Linked DNA regions of Caenorhabditis elegans. The protein of the gene in region 1 purifies or fractionates together with the protein of each later gene. This does not show direct contact. Each region holds a gene or a part of one and is shown in the gene's direction. Other genes may lie near its edges.

The links. Proteins that work in one complex are often made in the same cells at the same time.
Region 2: the proteins of pgp-13 (region 1) and acs-4 fractionate together in Caenorhabditis elegans (co-fractionation; one large-scale study listed by BioGRID). This does not show direct contact.

Annotation. Positions count from the first base shown.
Region 1 is NC_003284.9:12,736,067-12,745,904, forward strand, and holds pgp-13 (P-GlycoProtein related), read left to right. Parts: upstream 1-2,687; 5' UTR 2,688-2,929; coding exon 2,930-2,986; intron 2,987-3,219; coding exon 3,220-3,350; intron 3,351-3,398; coding exon 3,399-3,453; intron 3,454-3,531; coding exon 3,532-3,629; intron 3,630-3,675; coding exon 3,676-3,802; intron 3,803-3,854; coding exon 3,855-3,988; intron 3,989-4,034; coding exon 4,035-4,206; intron 4,207-4,286; coding exon 4,287-5,536; intron 5,537-5,584; coding exon 5,585-5,826; intron 5,827-6,009; coding exon 6,010-6,212; intron 6,213-6,263; coding exon 6,264-6,626; intron 6,627-6,686; coding exon 6,687-6,928; intron 6,929-6,971; coding exon 6,972-7,668; intron 7,669-7,739; coding exon 7,740-7,940; 3' UTR 7,941-8,045; downstream 8,046-9,838. Other genes in the region: pgp-12 (P-GlycoProtein related), read left to right, coding at 140-617, 664-882, 1,038-1,238; pgp-14 (P-glycoprotein 14), read right to left, coding at 8,941-9,141, 9,195-9,838.
Region 2 is NC_003281.10:7,164,835-7,172,667, forward strand, and holds acs-4 (long-chain-fatty-acid--CoA ligase), read left to right. Parts: upstream 1-3,003; coding exon 3,004-3,057; intron 3,058-3,125; coding exon 3,126-3,272; intron 3,273-3,319; coding exon 3,320-3,409; intron 3,410-3,486; coding exon 3,487-4,266; intron 4,267-4,315; coding exon 4,316-5,273; intron 5,274-5,352; coding exon 5,353-5,519; 3' UTR 5,520-6,156; downstream 6,157-7,833. Other genes in the region: K04G7.1 (Integrase zinc-binding domain-containing protein), read left to right, coding at 1-5.

The DNA of each region.
Region 1 (9,838 bases):
TTGAGAAAGTGGTCAAATAAGTTACGTCAATGACTTTTTTCTAGTTTCAAGATGCATACAAAATAGTTAGGTAAATATCGAAAACGTTTAAACACATAATAAATTTTAAAAGTGTAATCACAACCATCACCATTTTCAGAGCTATTAATTGCATGATGATGGGGTCCGTTGCTGTGATGCATTCATCTCATAACTTCCCAGAGTTCGTGAAAGCGAAAACTGCCGCTGGAATGCTATTTAAGTTGATCTATCGAAAATCAAAAACCGGAGACGTGATGGAAGGAAATAATACTGAAATTCGTGGGAATGTTCTTTTTGAGTCGGTCAAATTTTCATACCCACAACGACCAATGCAACCTGTTATGACGGACCTTCATTTTTCGGCCCACAGTGGCCAAACTGTTGCCTTAGTTGGCCCATCAGGCACTGGAAAAAGTACTTGTATTGCCATGCTTGAACGATTTTATGATGTTTCCGGTGGAGCACTGAGAATCGATGGACAGAATATCAAATCACTCTCCCTTCACCATCTTCGAACACAAATGGCATTAGTTGGCCAGGAGCCCCGTTTGTTTGCAGGAACTATTAAAGAAAACGTGTGTTTTGGGCTAAAAGATGTAAGTTTCAGCATCGATAATTCCTCATAGTATGCTTTTTTTCCAGGTCTCTGTTGAAAAAGTCCATCAAGCTTTGGAACTCGCAAATGCTTCCCGGTTCCTTGCAAACTTGCCAGCAGGCATTGATACAGAAGTTGGAGAGAAAGGAGGACAATTGTCGGGAGGACAAAAGCAGAGAATCGCAATTGCCAGAGCATTGGTCAGAGATCCTAAGATTTTGCTGCTAGATGAAGCCACTTCCGCATTGGATTCGGAATCTGAAAGGGTGAGGGGGAAAAATTAAGGCAAACGTTTAGCCGGAAAACAGACAACAATTCTACTTTTCCTTGGTTTGAAAAGCATACCATTTAAAAAGCCGATTTTAAATAATAGAAACACTGTTTTGAAAAATGAAAAAAAATTTGAAAATTTGTTTTCCAGGCCGTACAAGAAGCGCTGGATCGTGCTCGTGAAGGTCGTACTTGCATCACAATTGCCCATCGCTTGTCGTCTATTCAGAACTCCGACCTCATTGTTTACATTGATCATGGCATGGTACAAGAAGCTGGAAACCATGCTCACCTTATGTCACTGAGAGGAAAATACTACAATCTTATCAAAAAGCAAGATCTTACCACGTGATATTAATTACGTTGATAGACGTTGTTGCTTTTTGTGCGGGTTTTGTTATTTTTTTAAATCAGTTTTATATATACTTTCTGATGTTATACACATATTTAATCGAAATCACAAATAATAAATGTTCAATATAATTCCAATTTCCACTTGTGACCATATATTATGAAAGAAATCCGAGAGGTCTGAAAATACTATTCTGTAAATAAAATGAATAAATAATAACGTAACACTACGCTACAACTCACTCGGCATGGAAAACAACTTTTTGAAGCTGCTGTTCTTCAAAATACCAAGATAACTAACGTAAATGGAGACAATAATCGTTAGTTTCATTATATTTTATCTGTTTTGTTTTCTTCACAGCTAGTTACGGTACAGTGAGGAAGCAAACTTATTCATAAATCTGAAAAAAACAGGTAGAGGGAATAAAGTAAAGTAACTCTGTAATTCGGATAAATTTCTGAAACTCAGAATTCAAGTCAGCTGTGTCATTTCTTTCAAAATTTCGTTCCAATAGTTTTGTGCTAGTACTCAAAAATTTGATGAACGCTGAAAATGTTTTTAAAAGTTCTATGGGTTAATCAAATGATTTTTACAAAAGAGTCAAGCCAATGCAATTTTATATCTTGAAGTTTATATCCCATTTAAAAATGAGATCAGATGCATTGAACAATTCTTGTTCATTCCTGTTCCGAACCTTGTAAAATCAAAGTTTGCAGTTTGTTTTTTTGATGATTTGCAAAACATTTTTAGACAGATGCGAACACTAGTATTTGTGCTAACATCATTTGAATAGATTTACATGCAATTGTTGCCAGTTCTGTAGAAAACTGTGCTGAAAGTTTGTTTGTAAACTTTCTAAAACTTGTTAATTAGAGTTGTCCCAAAGAGATAAAAATAACAACAAAAAAATTAATTTGAAGAAGTGTTATATTTGTTTTCCAATCGCTCACTAGAGTTTGTGCCAAATGTTTAGTTTTAGAAGCTTATATCCTGAAAAATCGGGTATCGAGATTTAAAAAAAGGTATGTAAATTATAGGCGATGGTGATGCCGTTTTTAAATGTGGAGATGCACAATGAGGGTAAGTGGCTGTTTCAGAGAACTTTTAAGGGATTGTAAGACATTTTGAACACCTGAAATGTCGCTTGATTTTTTGTAGTGTCACATTGTTTATCCAACAAATTATCAGAAATGCTGGACATCGACACAAAAAATTGCACAATCACTAGTAAAAATTATAACTAGACACTTTTTCAGTGTCATTAATTTCTGTAGTTACCCTCTTACATCACGCCAAAATTATGTTTTGTTTTAAACTGATCGTTACACAAGAGAACCAAAAAAACAGTTTATGCGTTTTCAGAATGTTGTGAAAAGTTACCTCAGAACTTAGGCGCCGCCTTTTCAAACCGTAGTTTGTACGATGTAAGACGGAATACTCTGCTCTCTCCTCGTTTCTTCACGTGACTGTTTGAACTGTTGCTCTCGACCCACACAAAACACGCTTTTTGATTTTATGTGTATAGCTGGAAAACACGAAAGAGTGAATAAATAGTTTCCTGTATGTTTTTTCCGTGTACTTAAATAGTTGGATGGCAATGGAAGAGAGTTCATTTTGTGCTCATTTTTTGTTTCCTACTGCTGATTATTATTTCGAGCGCTATTATCACAATTGTATAAAACGAACCGCTGATGCCACCACAAGAAAACACGGATGGTTCTGGAAAGAATCTATCTAGTTTGAGAACGGTAGGAATCATTTCTTAAAGTTACGTTTTTCCATGATCCTCTAAGATGTTGGGAAATTGAAAACTATTTGCTCTTTATAAAGATATTTGAAAATACAACACAATCAAATATGATTTTTGTGTTGTATTTTCAAAATAGTATACAATTGGAACAAAAATAAAACTGAATTGATTATTTGTGAGAGTATTTAAAAAAAGTTTCAATTTTCTGAAATTACATTCCTTTTTTTTCAGAAAATTGATTTCGATGAGAAAATATCTGCTACGAGCTTCTCCGATTCATCATACAACGATGACGACAATGATAAGAAAGTGGAATACTATCCATCTGTATTTGAAAAATTCGTTAACTTTTTACTCTGCAGGTATTTTTTTTGATTTACCTAAAAATGTTTTAAAATTGATAATTGCAGGTGTGACCTTTCTGAACAAGTATTGGAATTCCAACCAGTTTCGCTACTGCAATTGGTAATTTTTTTAAATGTATTTTTATATTTTTATCAAGTTGAAAAAAACAATGTTAATGTTTTAAATTTTTGATTTAAGTTCCGCTTTGCCACGACGTTTGACTACATACTTCTATTGATTGGACTAATCACTTCAGTCATTTCTGGTGTCTCTCAACCAGTTCTTGCAATTATCTCGTAAGTTGTTGCAGTTTTTGAAGTTTTCCTGTATTCCGAATTTTAGGGGTCGAATGACAAATGTGTTGCTAGTCATTGATCCTTTGAGTAAAGAATTTAAAACCAAAACGATGGAAAATGTATACATCTTCTTAGGACTTGGAATCTTCGTTTCAATTAATGACTTTTGCCAGGTAGGAAATTCATTATAACAGGGTTAACTTTTTTCACCTGACCAAATTTCAGTATATGTGTTTTCAAAGAGTTTGCAGTCGTATGATGACTGTAATGAGAAATCGCTATATCTCCTCGATTTTAAGACAAAATGCAGGGTGGTTTGATAAAAACCTATCCGGAACAATCACGACGAGACTCAACGAGTAAGTCAATTTTTACTGTATGTAATAATTTCAATTTATGTTTAAGTAATATGGAACGGATTCAAGATGGTGTTGGTGATAAACTTGGTGTTCTGATTAGAGGGATCTCAATGGTTATTGCATCAGTCGTTATTTCTTTGATTTATGAATGGAGACTTGCTCTTATGATGTTAGGTCTGATTCCCGTCTCCACAATCTGCATGACACTTTTATCAAGGGTATGTTCATTTTTATCACCTTGTTTCACACCAAACTATCTCAAACCCTCAATTTGAAAATAACAATTAAAGTTTTATAGTTCTTGGAAAAGAGCACTGGGGAGGAATTGGAGAAAGTTGGTGAAGCCGGAGCAATTGCAGAAGAATGTTTGATGGGTGTACGAACTATTCAGGCATTTAATGGTCAAGAAGAAATGGTTGCAAAATACGAGAAACAATTGAATTCTGGAAAGAAGCATGCAATTTGGGGAGGATTTTGGAGTGGATTTTTCGGAGGCATTTTCTTCTTCTGGTTGATGGCTTTCATGGGATGTGGAATTCTATATGGAGGTTACCTACTCAAAGTCGGAATCATCAAGTCTCCTGGTGATGTATTCATTATTGTGGTGGCCATGTTACTCGGAGCCTATTTTCTTGGATTAATATCTCCCCATTTGATGGTTTTGCTTAACGCTAGAGTTGCAGCTGCATCTATATATAAAACTATTGACCGAGTCCCAAAAATTGATCCATACTCAAGGCATGGAAAGAAAATTGAGAAGGTTGTTGGTAAGGTGACATTTGAAAATGTGCACTTTAGATATCCAACGAGAAAAGAAGCGAAGGTTCTCAATGGTCTCAACTTGACAGTTGAACCAGGAACGTCTGTAGCTTTGGTTGGCCACTCGGGATGTGGAAAATCTACTTCCGTTGGTCTTTTGACCAGACTATACGAACCCGAACAAGGCAGCGTACAAATCGATGGAGTTGACGTCAGGGACTTAAATTTGGAGTGGCTTCGGAATGTTGTGGGTATTGTGCAGCAGGAGCCTATTCTTTTCAACGATACTATTCACAACAACTTGCTTTTTGGAAATCCAGATGCCACTCGTGAGACAATGATTCGAGTTTGTAAAATGGCAAATGCGCATGACTTCATCAAAAAAATGCCAAAAGGATACGACACACAAATTGGTGATGGAGGCGTTCAACTTTCTGGAGGACAAAAGCAACGTGTTGCTATTGCCAGAACTCTTATTCGTGACCCGAAAGTGCTCCTACTAGATGAAGCAACGTCTGCACTCGATGCTCAAAGTGAGAGTGTTGTTCAGTCAGCACTAAACAATGCATCCAAAGGAAGAACAACTATTATGATAGCTCATCGACTATCAACAATTCGTGAAGCTGATAAAATTGTATTTTTCGAAAAAGGAGTCATTGTTGAAGCTGGAAATCATGAAGAGTTAGTGAATCTTGGAGGAAGGTATTTTGACCTCGTGAAAGCCCAAGCCTTCAAGCAAGATCCGGACGAGATTGCTTTGGAAAAAGAAGAAGAAGATCAATTTGATGAGTTAGTTGAAAAATAGAACTTTGAAAATCAAAAGCTAAATCATTTCAGATTTGATAAGCCAACTGTGTTCAACAGGAAAGTTTCGGTTAGAAATTCAAGAAGTTCTGGACGCTCGGGGTCCGAAGAGTTTCGTCGAGGATCTCTTGCCAACCATTCGTTTGATAGATTTCGAAAGGCATCTCATATACCGTCGGCAGAAGATGAAGCATTTGCTTTGCGAGTCAAAGAGACCATGGAAAAAGACGGAGAAATCACTGCTGGATTCTTGGATATTTTCAAAAATGCTCAAGGTAGTGAGACAACTATTATTAAAGTTCGAATTAAAGCACTTCAAAACGGAAAATTTGCATTATATTTTTGCATTATATGTCTGATCAAACAATTTTTAAAATTTTCAATTAAAATAACATCTTTGAAATCTTGAATTAAAACTATTAAATCTCAAATACTTACAATCCTATACATATTTTCAGGAAACTACACTTACATGCTAATTGGCCTATCAGCTGCTTTGATCAGAGGGCTCGATCTTCCTACCTTTGCATTGCTGTTTGCTTGGGTTTTTGAAGGATTTGAATTTGTTCCCTACGGCGGAAAAATGATGCATCGATTAGCAATGTCTGTAATAGCTCATTGTGCAGCCGGATTGGGTATCTGGTTTTTCCAAACGCTTAGTGTAAGTCTAACTCGAAAAATATAAACATTCAAAATTACAAATGGATTTCAGACTGTTATGTTTGCAATTGTCTCGGAAAACTTAGGAGTACGGTTCCGGGTTGCTGCTTTTCGAAATCTTCTTTATCAGGATGCAGCATATTTTGACAATCCGGCGCACGCTCCTGGAAGTCTTATCACAAGATTAGCAGCAGATCCTCCTTGTGTAAAAGCTGTTGTAGACGGTAGAATGATGCAAGTTGTTTACGCAACTGCCGCTGTCATTGCTTGCGTGACAATTGGATTTATCAATTGTTGGCAAGTTGCGATTCTTGGAACCGCTCTAATTTTCTTGTTGGGATTCATTATGGCTGGATTGGCATTCAAAATTTCAATCGTAGCTGCTGAGCATATGGAGAACGATGACGCAGGAAAGGTACTTGCCAAGAAAATATAGTTATTCTAAAAATATTTTTTAATTGATTTCTATTTTCAGATTGCCATTGAAATTATTGAAAATGTGAAAACTATCCAACTATTAACACGGACAAGAAGATTCTTAAACAGCTACGAAAACGAATCAAAAAAGCGAAAACGGACTGAACTCCGAAAGTCTGTATACGAAGCTGTCAACTACTGCATTTCTCAAAATTTTATGTACTACATGTCTTGCTTCTGTTTTGCATTAGCAATCAGAATCATCAATCAAGGAGATCAAACAGTTGATAAGACGTTCAGGTTAGTCACTTTCTCTAAGAATTTAAACATTATTTGTACCTAGATGTCTCATGGCGATGATGCTGTGTTGCGAGGGAATTATCATGTCTGCTCAATTCTTCCCGCAATTTGTTGGTGCCAAGTCTGCAGCAGGACAGATGTTTAACTTGATTAACCGGCAACCTCAGACAGGAGATCTCAAGAGCGGTACCAAACCAGAAATTCGCGGAAATATATTATTCGAAAACGTCAAGTTTTCGTATCCACAAAGACCACATCAGCCAGTTATGAAACAACTGCAATGGACTGCTCTACGTGGACAAACTGTAGCTCTAGTTGGCCCATCGGGCTCAGGCAAAAGCACATGCATTGGAATGCTCGAAAGATTTTACGACGTCACGGGTGGTGCATTAAGAATGGATGGGCAAGACATAAAGAACATCAGTTTGTACCATCTTAGAACTCAAATGGCGTTAGTTGGACAAGAACCCAGACTATTTGTGGGAACGATAAGAGAAAATGTGTGTCTTGGACTGAAAGACGTGCCACTTGAGAAAATAAATCAGGCGCTAGAGCTAGCAAACGCAAACCGTTTTCTTGGCAACTTACCCGATGGCATAGACACCGAAGTTGGAGAAAGAGGTGGCCAACTATCTGGAGGTCAGAAGCAAAGAATTGCGATTGCTAGAGCTTTAGTCAGAGACCCGAAAATTTTGCTTCTCGATGAAGCCACATCGGCTTTGGATTCAGAATCAGAAAGGGTAAGTTTTTTACAAGGCTTTTGAGATGTAGTGTTATGGATACAGATAATGAACATGATTTGTTTTTTCAGGCTGTGCAAGAAGCATTGGATCGTGCCCGAGAAGGGCGTACCTGCATTACAATTGCTCACCGCCTCTCATCTATTCAAAATTCCGATTTGATTGTGTATATTGATGATGGCCGAGTTCAAGAATCTGGTACTCACAAAGAACTGATGCAGTTGAAAGGAAAATATTTTGAATTGATTAAAAAACAAGATCTTGCAATATAAGTTTAATTTCAAAATCTGTTTTATTTGTATCCTTGTTAATGAGATTATGCCTCTGCGGGTAGATGACCAAATTGAGATTATTGTTGAGATTTTAATAAAACCTTTCTTTTAACACTTCAATTCAAAATTTGCAATTTAAAAATACAGAAATCACTATGAAATTAAGTGATAGTTTGTGAGTTTAAGGACTAACGGTTCGGACGATTTTGAACACATAGACCCAAAATGAGCTCAAATGAGCGTTTTTTTTTTCGTAATGAAGCTTCTCAAAAATTTTTCATGACGGGTCAAAATTTTGAAAAAATTATACCGATTTTAGCTGAAATCTCGAATTTTGCCTAATTTTCTAGATCGCATTTGTTGACTTTTTTGTACCACCCTGCGAGGACACTTCTCTTTGCGCCTTTCAGCATGAGAAGTGGGTTGACACTGCCAACTTGGCAGCCGATGTCGAAAAATACAGAAAATGTGTCGAAAAATGTAGAAAAATAGAAAAATCGATGTATTTTTTACATTTTTCTACAGACATGACTAGGGGAAAATGTATTAAAATACATTTTTGTAAATTTCAACATCACATATTACGGGACCATGAAAAGTAGGCATTCTCATGATCTCATGGTCCCGTAATAAACAACCCCATAAGTGTGTGTGTGTGGGAGCTAATTGCGCCAACTGTAATTTTCTTCTGTTGTAAATAACACAGTGCACTTTCAATTCTTACATTTTTTTATTCGAAAATTGAAAAAGCGACTAGCTAATGAGTACCTACTGAAAATAAAAGTAGCAATGTGAACAGACCCGGTTAATAGAAAAACTGCTTCAAAACAACGTGGGAACAGTTTTCTAAATGACGGAAAAATTTTTTGAGAAATGTGAAAACAAAGCAATGAAAAGTCACAATAAAAACAGTTTCAAAGGGAACAAGTAATTACTGGTAAGAGTGTGGAAGTGATCAAAATTTACAGGATAATTCGGAATTGAAAGGCAATTTGCAGAGTTAAACAGCAAGATCTTGTTTCTTGATGAGCTTGTAGTATCTGCCCTTTTGATGCATCAACTGCGTGTGGTTGCCAGCTTCCTGCACCTTGCCCTTATCGATGTACACAATAAGGTCAGAGTTCTGAATGGACGACAAACGATGGGCAATTGTGATACACGTACGACCTTCTCGGGCACGATCTAATGCCTCTTGTACAGCCTGAAAGAAAACGATCATAATTATTAAGAGATAGCGTTTCATTTTCAACATACCCTTTCGGATTCCGAATCCAAAGCTGACGTGGCTTCATCCAGAAGCAGAATTTTGGGGTCTCGGACCAAAGCTCTGGCAATTGCAATTCTCTGTTTCTGACCTCCCGACAATTGTCCTCCTTTTTCTCCTACATCTGTGTCAATTCCGGCTGGCAAGTTGGCAAGGAATCTGTTAGCATTGGCAAGTTCTAAGGCTTGATTGATCTTTTCAAGTGGCACATCCTTCAACCCAAGGCACACGTTCTCGCGGATGGTTCCTGCGAAAAGACGAGGCTCTTGGCCGACCAGCGCCATTTGTGTTCTGAGATGGAACAGTGACAATTTTCGAATGTCTTGTCCATCAATTCGAAGTGCTCCGCCAGTAACATCGTAGAATCGTTCGAGCATACCAATGTTCGTACTTTTACCGGATCCGGATGGCCCGACAAGAGCAACAGTTTGTCCGCGAAGTGCTGTCCATTGAAGTCCTTTCATAATTGGTTGCAATGGTCGTTGTGGATACGAGAATTTGACATTTTCAAAGAGAATGTTTCCTCTAATTTCAGGGCGATCTCCTTCCATTAAGTCTCCTGTTCTAGGTTTTCTGTAGATAATGTTGAACAACATTCCAGCTGCAGTTTTAGCCTTTACAAATTCTGGGAAGT
Region 2 (7,833 bases), on another chromosome or scaffold:
AGTAGAAGCTTACATGTTTCTTTATTGTTTGACAATATCTTAATAACTAAACTCACATACGATCTTTTTCCTTAATTATATCTGAAATTTTGTGACAGTTTTGTAATGAATCCTAAAAAGATTAAAACATGAAGTCATCCTTATCACAGAAGTTCAACTCAAAAAAGGATGTTATCTTTCTAAAAGTTTTAAAGGAATTTATTTCATTCATTACTGCTGTGAACAGGATCGTCTCGTTGATATTAGCATTACGTGAACTTTTCCTCAACACATCAATATGAAATCGATGCGTAAAAAATTGAACTTAATGTTTTTTTGAATTATTCCTAACTCGTATCGAGCTAGTCTACACTATTCTCTAACAAAAACTTCTGTTTGGACTTGGCTTTGCTTTATTTTCGTTAAGGATACTCAATTTCGACAACACGAGAGATACAACGGTACTAGTTTGAAAACTTGAAGATTTGTTTCACTTACTGGCAAGGCAAGCTATTATGTATACAAAAGGGTTAGTCTGATTGTTTAAAAAGGTTTTTCTATCAAAGAAAGTGAAAAGAAAAGATTTGAAACAAAAATTCGATAAAACAGATCGAATTATATTGGAGTTACGGTTCACAAACCGTACCCCTGTGCATTTTATCGTGAACGTGTTTACGGACCACTTTTGCCGCCAATAATTTTCAGACACTTTTTTTGCAAAAACAATTCATTTTCGTCTTAATTTGACGGTTTTTCTTTATTTTCGGCTTCCGTTTTTGAGTTTTCTGCATAATTAACGTTTTTAAAGGTGTTTTACTGATGCAAATACTCTCGAATCTCTGAAATTTCTAGTGGGTTCAAATTTTAGGATCTCCTTTGTTATAACATATTATAATATATTCTGGCGTCGTAACATTTTTCTTCAGTCTTTAAACGTTCAGAAATAATTCTAAAATTGAATCAAGAATGTTTTTGTTATTTATGTTGACTTTTCCTCTTCCAAAAATCACGCCATGCACTGACTCACTCTTTCACAATTCCATCGGTCGTCTAGTAAACGTGTAAAACGAACATATGATTGCGAAACACTATTTCTGTTTTCCGTGGGTCTCCCTCTTTCCATGCCTAGCAGAATTCAAATTACGCGGGCAATGTGGCCTGTGTTGTCTGCGTTTTCTAATGTGCATCTTCACGAATCATGCTTTCAAATTCATTTTGTGCTCTTTCTTTGTACGATGCTCCGTCATTTTGTGCTCTTTTATCAATAACATAATCAAGTGTTAAGAAGATGAACTGATTAAGTGAAAGTTGTATGACGACTGTAGACAAACCCGTCGTTTACGTTGCAGAAATGAGTTATTTTACTTGTCGAAATGATTCTGAATTCAGTTTTACATAACCGAGTTCAACACGTTGTTGATGAGATATTATTTACTCTACTTTTTGTATGATATTACCCCATTTCAATCAATACACTGTCCTAATCCCTCCACCAAGAGTACCCTGTCACCCAATACGCAACCACAGGGTTTCAGTCGCGTATCTCCTCGGTGGCGTGTAATTAGATTTAAAACGGCTGACGAATATCTTGACAATATGAATAATTCTAGTATTTCTCTAACTGTTTCCATTTAGATTGAATGTCCAACTATTATAGATGATTTTCTAGGAAAACCGCGTTCTCAAAATTTAATTTCCTTTTTCTACAGCCCATCCTTATGATTCATCACAAAAAATAGTTTTCCCAGACGTTCATTTTAACATTTTCTCGCTGTTGTTTTTTTTCTGATTTAGGCAAGCATTTCTGAAAATAAGGCTTACTTAACATTTAAATGTATAAACTTATGTAACTCGAATGTAACAATTATTCTTAAAGCTTGTTGGTCCTCTTGAGGTCAAAAGTGGTGCCATATCCGAATCTCGCGCCATGTTCTGAGTTGCTTTCTCTGTTTTGTCTCTACTCGTGTGCGCAGAAAGACCTCCGCTTCCAACTCAGCGTTCATCTATGCATTCCTAGCATTGTCTGCGTCTCACGACTGCGCGGAATAGATGGGGAGTGAGGGGAGCCGCTCCTATGTTTAAAAAAACTGAGAGAACAGAGTGGAAGAAGAGGGAGGAAGAGGAAAAGAATACGGGCGTGTGCAGTTTTCCTCCTCTTTCTCTTTTCCTGTGAAGAACTGCGATGTTGCCACGCAGAATGTAGAAGGAGACGTCATTTGTTTCGGACAGTTCTTTTTTCCATTCGAAATTTTTACGGTGAAAATTGTGAACACGATACATCTTCCGCATGTTCTTAATTGTTACCGCGAACGACATTTCACTGATTTGATAACGCAAAACACCTGATAATGATATTATTTTTACTGATGCTGATAAGACGAGGAATTGTTTTCGTCCAGAGATTGAAGGCTGTTAACTTTACAACAATAACTGTCTAAGACTTTTTTTTTTAATTTTAACATTTTACAATAATCAAACTACGATTTAAAACTCGTGGTGACTTTTCATGCCGGAATTATTTTGAGGTTTTTTCCTTATCAGCACGATTTTCCGTTTTCCCTTTTTTCTGCTTTTGCAGTCCGAAACGAAACACCTCCAACTTTATAAAAATGATGCTATCAAGAGTTCCGTCAAAGACATAATGTAGTTTCCTCTTTTTCATCGGCAGCTAACCATAATAATGTTTAAAAAGAACGTCGCAAAAACTGCAACAATTATTGGACTTTTTGATGTAAGACAAATAGGCTGCACTCTGAACGGGAGAAGATGAGAAAAAAAATTGTCAAATATTTGCACAGAAATATATTTTCCCTTCTTGCATTATTCTCGCAATTCTCGTAATTTTTTGTCTAGCAATTTTGCTCATCGTGAATTAAAAATTGTTCTTTATGTTCCCAAAACTGTAGAAATGCTGCTTCTGTATACATATCATATTATATACATTCTCTATTCCATGCGTCACGGTCTTGTACATTCTTCCCATTTTTCTTTAGAATAATCTCTTCTAATTTTCGTTATTTACAGATGAAACGGAAAGTTTCGGTATACGATTCTTCAAAGGATAAGACACTCGGCCAGGTTCGTGTTTTTGTTTAGGACATTTTACGATTTTTTGTTTGAAAGTTTCCAACAAGTTCTATTTTCAGGTAGTGAAAGGTGAATCACCAATATGGATTCGTGTAGCTATGGCCATCCTTCGTGTGTGGTTTTTCATATACGATTGTCTCAACTACTTGCCATACCAGTTGTTCAATTCGCCAACGGAAAAGCTTCGGAAGTCGGAGCGAGTAAAGGTTTGTCAATACTTTTAATATTAATTTATCCGTATTATCTGTTTCAGGCAAATTGGGTTGACGATCGTGATGGACCAATCCGTAATATTCAAGGACATGCTTCAGAAACATTCCCAGGAAAAGACACAGTTGATAAGGTAGGCAAGTGTGCAAAGATCTGCATTGCAGAATTCGATAAAAGCTGAAGTAGCACATTTCATGCTTTAAATTTTAGGTTTGGAGAAAGTGCGTCGAACTCTACGATGAATCGCCATGTTTGGGAACTCGACAGCTTATTGAAGTTCACGAAGATAAACAACCTGGAGGCCGTGTGTTTGAGAAGTGGCATCTTGGAGAGTATGTGTGGCAGAGCTACAAAGAAGTTGAAACTCAAGTCGCCCGCCTCGCAGCCGGTATCAAGGATCTTGCCCATGAAGAACAAAATCCGAAAGTTGTTATCTTTGCTGAAACTCGTGCAGATTGGCTCATCACTGCTCTTGCCTGTTTCCGTGCCAACGTCACCATCGTAACTGTATACGCAACTTTGGGAGAAGACGCAATTGCTCATGCCATCGGAGAGACTGAAGCTACAATTCTTGTCACTTCTTCGGAACTTCTTCCAAAGATTGTAACGCTTGGAAAGAAATGTCCAACTCTGAAGACCCTGATTTATTTCGCTCCTGTGGACCAGAAAGCACCAGCACCAGAGCTTGCACCGTTCCGTGATCAGTTCAAACATGTTCTATCACTGAGCGGACTTCTTACTCGCAATCAGGAACAAGTTAAAGAATCTACAGCTGTGAAGTCAGACATTGCCCTCATCATGTACACTTCTGGCACAACTGGTCAGCCAAAAGGAGTTATTCTTCTTCATCAAAACGTTGTGGCTGCTTTGTTGGGACAAGGGGATGGTGTTGGAATCATATGCAATGCAGATACATACATTGGGTATCTTCCACTTGCTCATATTCTCGAATTGGATGCCGAATTGACATGTTTGACTAAAGGAGCCAAGGTAAGAATTTTTATTGGATTTAAAACTCATTTTACCCATTTATTTTAAGGTTGGATATTCTTCACCCTTGACACTTCACGACCGTGCATCAAAAATCCAAAAGGGAACACATGGAGATTGTCATGCCCTCCGCCCAACTCTTATGGCTGCTGTTCCAGCTATTATGGATCGAATTTTCAAGGCCGTCTCCGAAGAAGTTGCTGCATCACCTCGTTTCATGCAAGAATTGTTCAAACTTAATTATGAGAGAAAGAGATCCCGCTATTTGGAGGGTTACTGCAGTCCATTCCTTGATCGCATCGTATTCAAAAAGATTCGCAGACTTTTGGGAGGAAAACTTCGTGGTGTTTTGTCTGGTGGAGCCCCATTGAACGCTGAAACTCAAAGATTCATGAATATTTGTATGTGCTGCCCTGTTGTTCAAGGATACGGACTCACAGAAACTTGTGGAGCTGCTTGTGTTGCTGATATCAACGACTTGAGCACAGGAACCGTTGGTCCCCCAGTCAGATGCTCAGATATTGCTCTTCGTGAGTGGTCCGAAGGTGGATACTCACCATTCAATGATCCACCACAAGGAGAGATTCTTATTTCTGGAGAAAACATCTCACCTGGATATTATAAACAACCAGAAAAGACCGCTGAAGATTTCATCACCTATAAAGGAAAAGTGTACTTTGCCACTGGAGATATTGGACAGAAGCGTGATGATGGTTCTCTTCTCATTATTGACAGAAAGAAGGATTTGGTTAAATTGCAACACGGAGAATATGTTTCTCTCGCTAAAGTTGAATGTGCACTTCTCAATTGCCCAATTGTTGATAACATCTGCGTTTATGGAAGTGGAATGGAAGACAGTGTTGTTGCTCTTGTGGTTCCAAACCAGAAGCACTTGGAGAAGATTGCTGAAGCGGAAGGTGTATCAACTAGTGAAATGAAGACGATGTGTGAAGATAAGAAGGTCATTGCTGCCTACAAGAAACAACTCGAAGAACATGCCAAGAAAAGTTAGTTTTGAGAAATTATGAACGTTCTAATGTTTAAAATAATTAAATTGTGGTTCCCTAAAAATGTATATTGTTTCAGGCAAACTTTCCCGCTCTGAAATCCCAGCCGCGATTCATCTTTGCCCCGAGATTTGGACTCCTGACACTGGCCTTCTTACCGAAGCACTCAAGCTGAAGAGAAAGCCTATCCAAATGGCCTACCAGAAGACCCTCGATGATCTGTATAAGCAGCTCAAAAAGAATTGATTCATGTCTTCCTAGCTTTCTTTTTTTCTTTTCCCGCCCTTTTCACACTGGTAACTTGCTCTTCCCCACCTATTCGAGATACTCGATATTGGATTCCCATCTCTTTTGTATACTTCCCTCATTTATAGCAGCATAATCTGTTAGCTTTCATACCGGAAGCTTTAGGTTTCATTCCTATTCTGTAAAGATTCGTGTTTCATGCTACTCTTTCCCGTATTCTCCTTCCCTTTCCACCATCAAAGAGCTTTTCTAACTTGTTTTTCACACATCGTACCTATTCGTAACTTATTCTTTCTAGAGCCCCTGATTCCTTTTCCCCAAACATCCAAACGCTTTATATTTTGGTCGCCCCTGAAAATTAGGTAGATTGTTTTCAAAAATGAAAATGCTGACAACATTTTTGTTTTTCAATGAAATCCATCGAGATTTCAAGGGTGTTAAGATAGATTTTCAATTTTTACAAATTCATTCGATCAATAGTTTGTTTTTGCCAAATGGGTTGTTCCTTTCACACCGACACAGAAATACACACATTTTCCCCCATCTTTTTCTATTTATCTCGTCCCTTCTCCCCAAAACATCTATTTGATTCCATCCTTGTATTGTCACACACAGATGTGAAATAAAAAAGATTGATAAATGATCTTCTGTACTGAATCTACACACTAGTCGTTGATCGACCATCTTTCAACGTCATTGGTTCGAAGATGAGCGATTCCTGTGACGCCTAGAACAAGAATAGACAAAACAAAGAAGAAATCTTCATTTGAAGATCAATATATCTTTTTTGGAACATATACAACACTTACTATTCTATCGAGATATTTTGGTGGATTATTGATTGATGATCCAATAAATTTATCAGCTGCAAGAGGGGCTCTAATGACAGTTTGTTTTGAAATTGATTTTTCATTTTAATTGGAATAAATCATGCAGGTTAATTTCAAACGGAAGAGTAATTTTATATTACTTGTGAGCTTTAAACTTACTTTTTCAGGCGAGAGTTTTCACGTAGAAGTAGAAAATTGAAGAAGCCTTGATTGACTGGAATTTTTAGTCCTCATCTTTCCTTTATCTTTTAAACTGAAAATTTGATAATTATTGTACACATTTTTAATGTTGGGATAAAACCTTTAAAAAATAAAGGTAATGTTATGATTGGTAAATGGTAAATGTTATGAAAATGCCGTCTTCTTCCTTAGTTTTTGAAATTTCCCTCTTCATAACATTCCATAATCAGTGACTGCAAATATCAAAACCCACAATTTTAGAAAAACAGAAAATTTATTTTTTGAATTTCAATAATTTCCGAAATCAAATCTTTCACGTATGCATAAAAGTGCTTGCCTGTGTGCCTCCAAGGCAGGCATAACTTTTTGTGGCGCATATTGACCAGACAATTCAGATTCTGTGCGGTTTCTGATAGTCACATTTCAAATTAGCACTCTTTCTTGATTGAATATAAGAGTTACAGAATCATTTGCAGCACGGAGAACAAAAGATATGAGCAAATCAACAACTGAACCAGATTCATCTGGCTTTGAACTTCTTTCTAATTGTACTACGGTAAGTAACCCACTGCAAATATCCTTGAAATTAAACTATACAAGCACAAATGATTTCATTTCATCCAGTATATCGAGTTGCTCAAATCTATCAATTTTTGGTTGCCTGTTTCGCATTTCCCCCATTGTTTTATTTCATATTTTTCAAACTTATCAAATCGAGTTTTCACGGAAATCTGAAAGTAAGCAAATAGGTTACTTGGAAAAATAAGTTAATTAATGAACTTCAGTGTGTGTTAATTGGTTATTTTGTGACAGTTCTGGCATTTACAATCAATTTTCAAATTGTTGGGGTGAGTTTTACTTAATTTAACAATTGCCATCAGACTAATTTGAATTTCCGAAACTTTCAGTTCGTTCAAGTTCTGCTTCCATTCATTTCAAGAACACCTTGTGATTTGATAATCAATGGAAGATATTTGAAATACGGTCATCCAACTGGGTCATTTATTATGACTTTGTCTACACTTTTACCGATTTGCATTACAATTGAACGGTTTTTCGCAATGAAAAACGCAGAAACTTATGAAAAAACTCCAGTAAAGCTGGGCCCAATAATCACTTTTCTCTTAGTAAGTTTTTTTTTTTATTTGACTTTTACCAAAATAGAAAAATTGGGTACTTTACCCTCATTGTTTTTCTTCAAAAAACGGCTATTTTCAGATAATAATTGATTTAACTACGGTTTCCATGATCCATAGAAACTCAAATTTTGATGCTGGATCAATTTCTTTTGTTATTTTTCCATC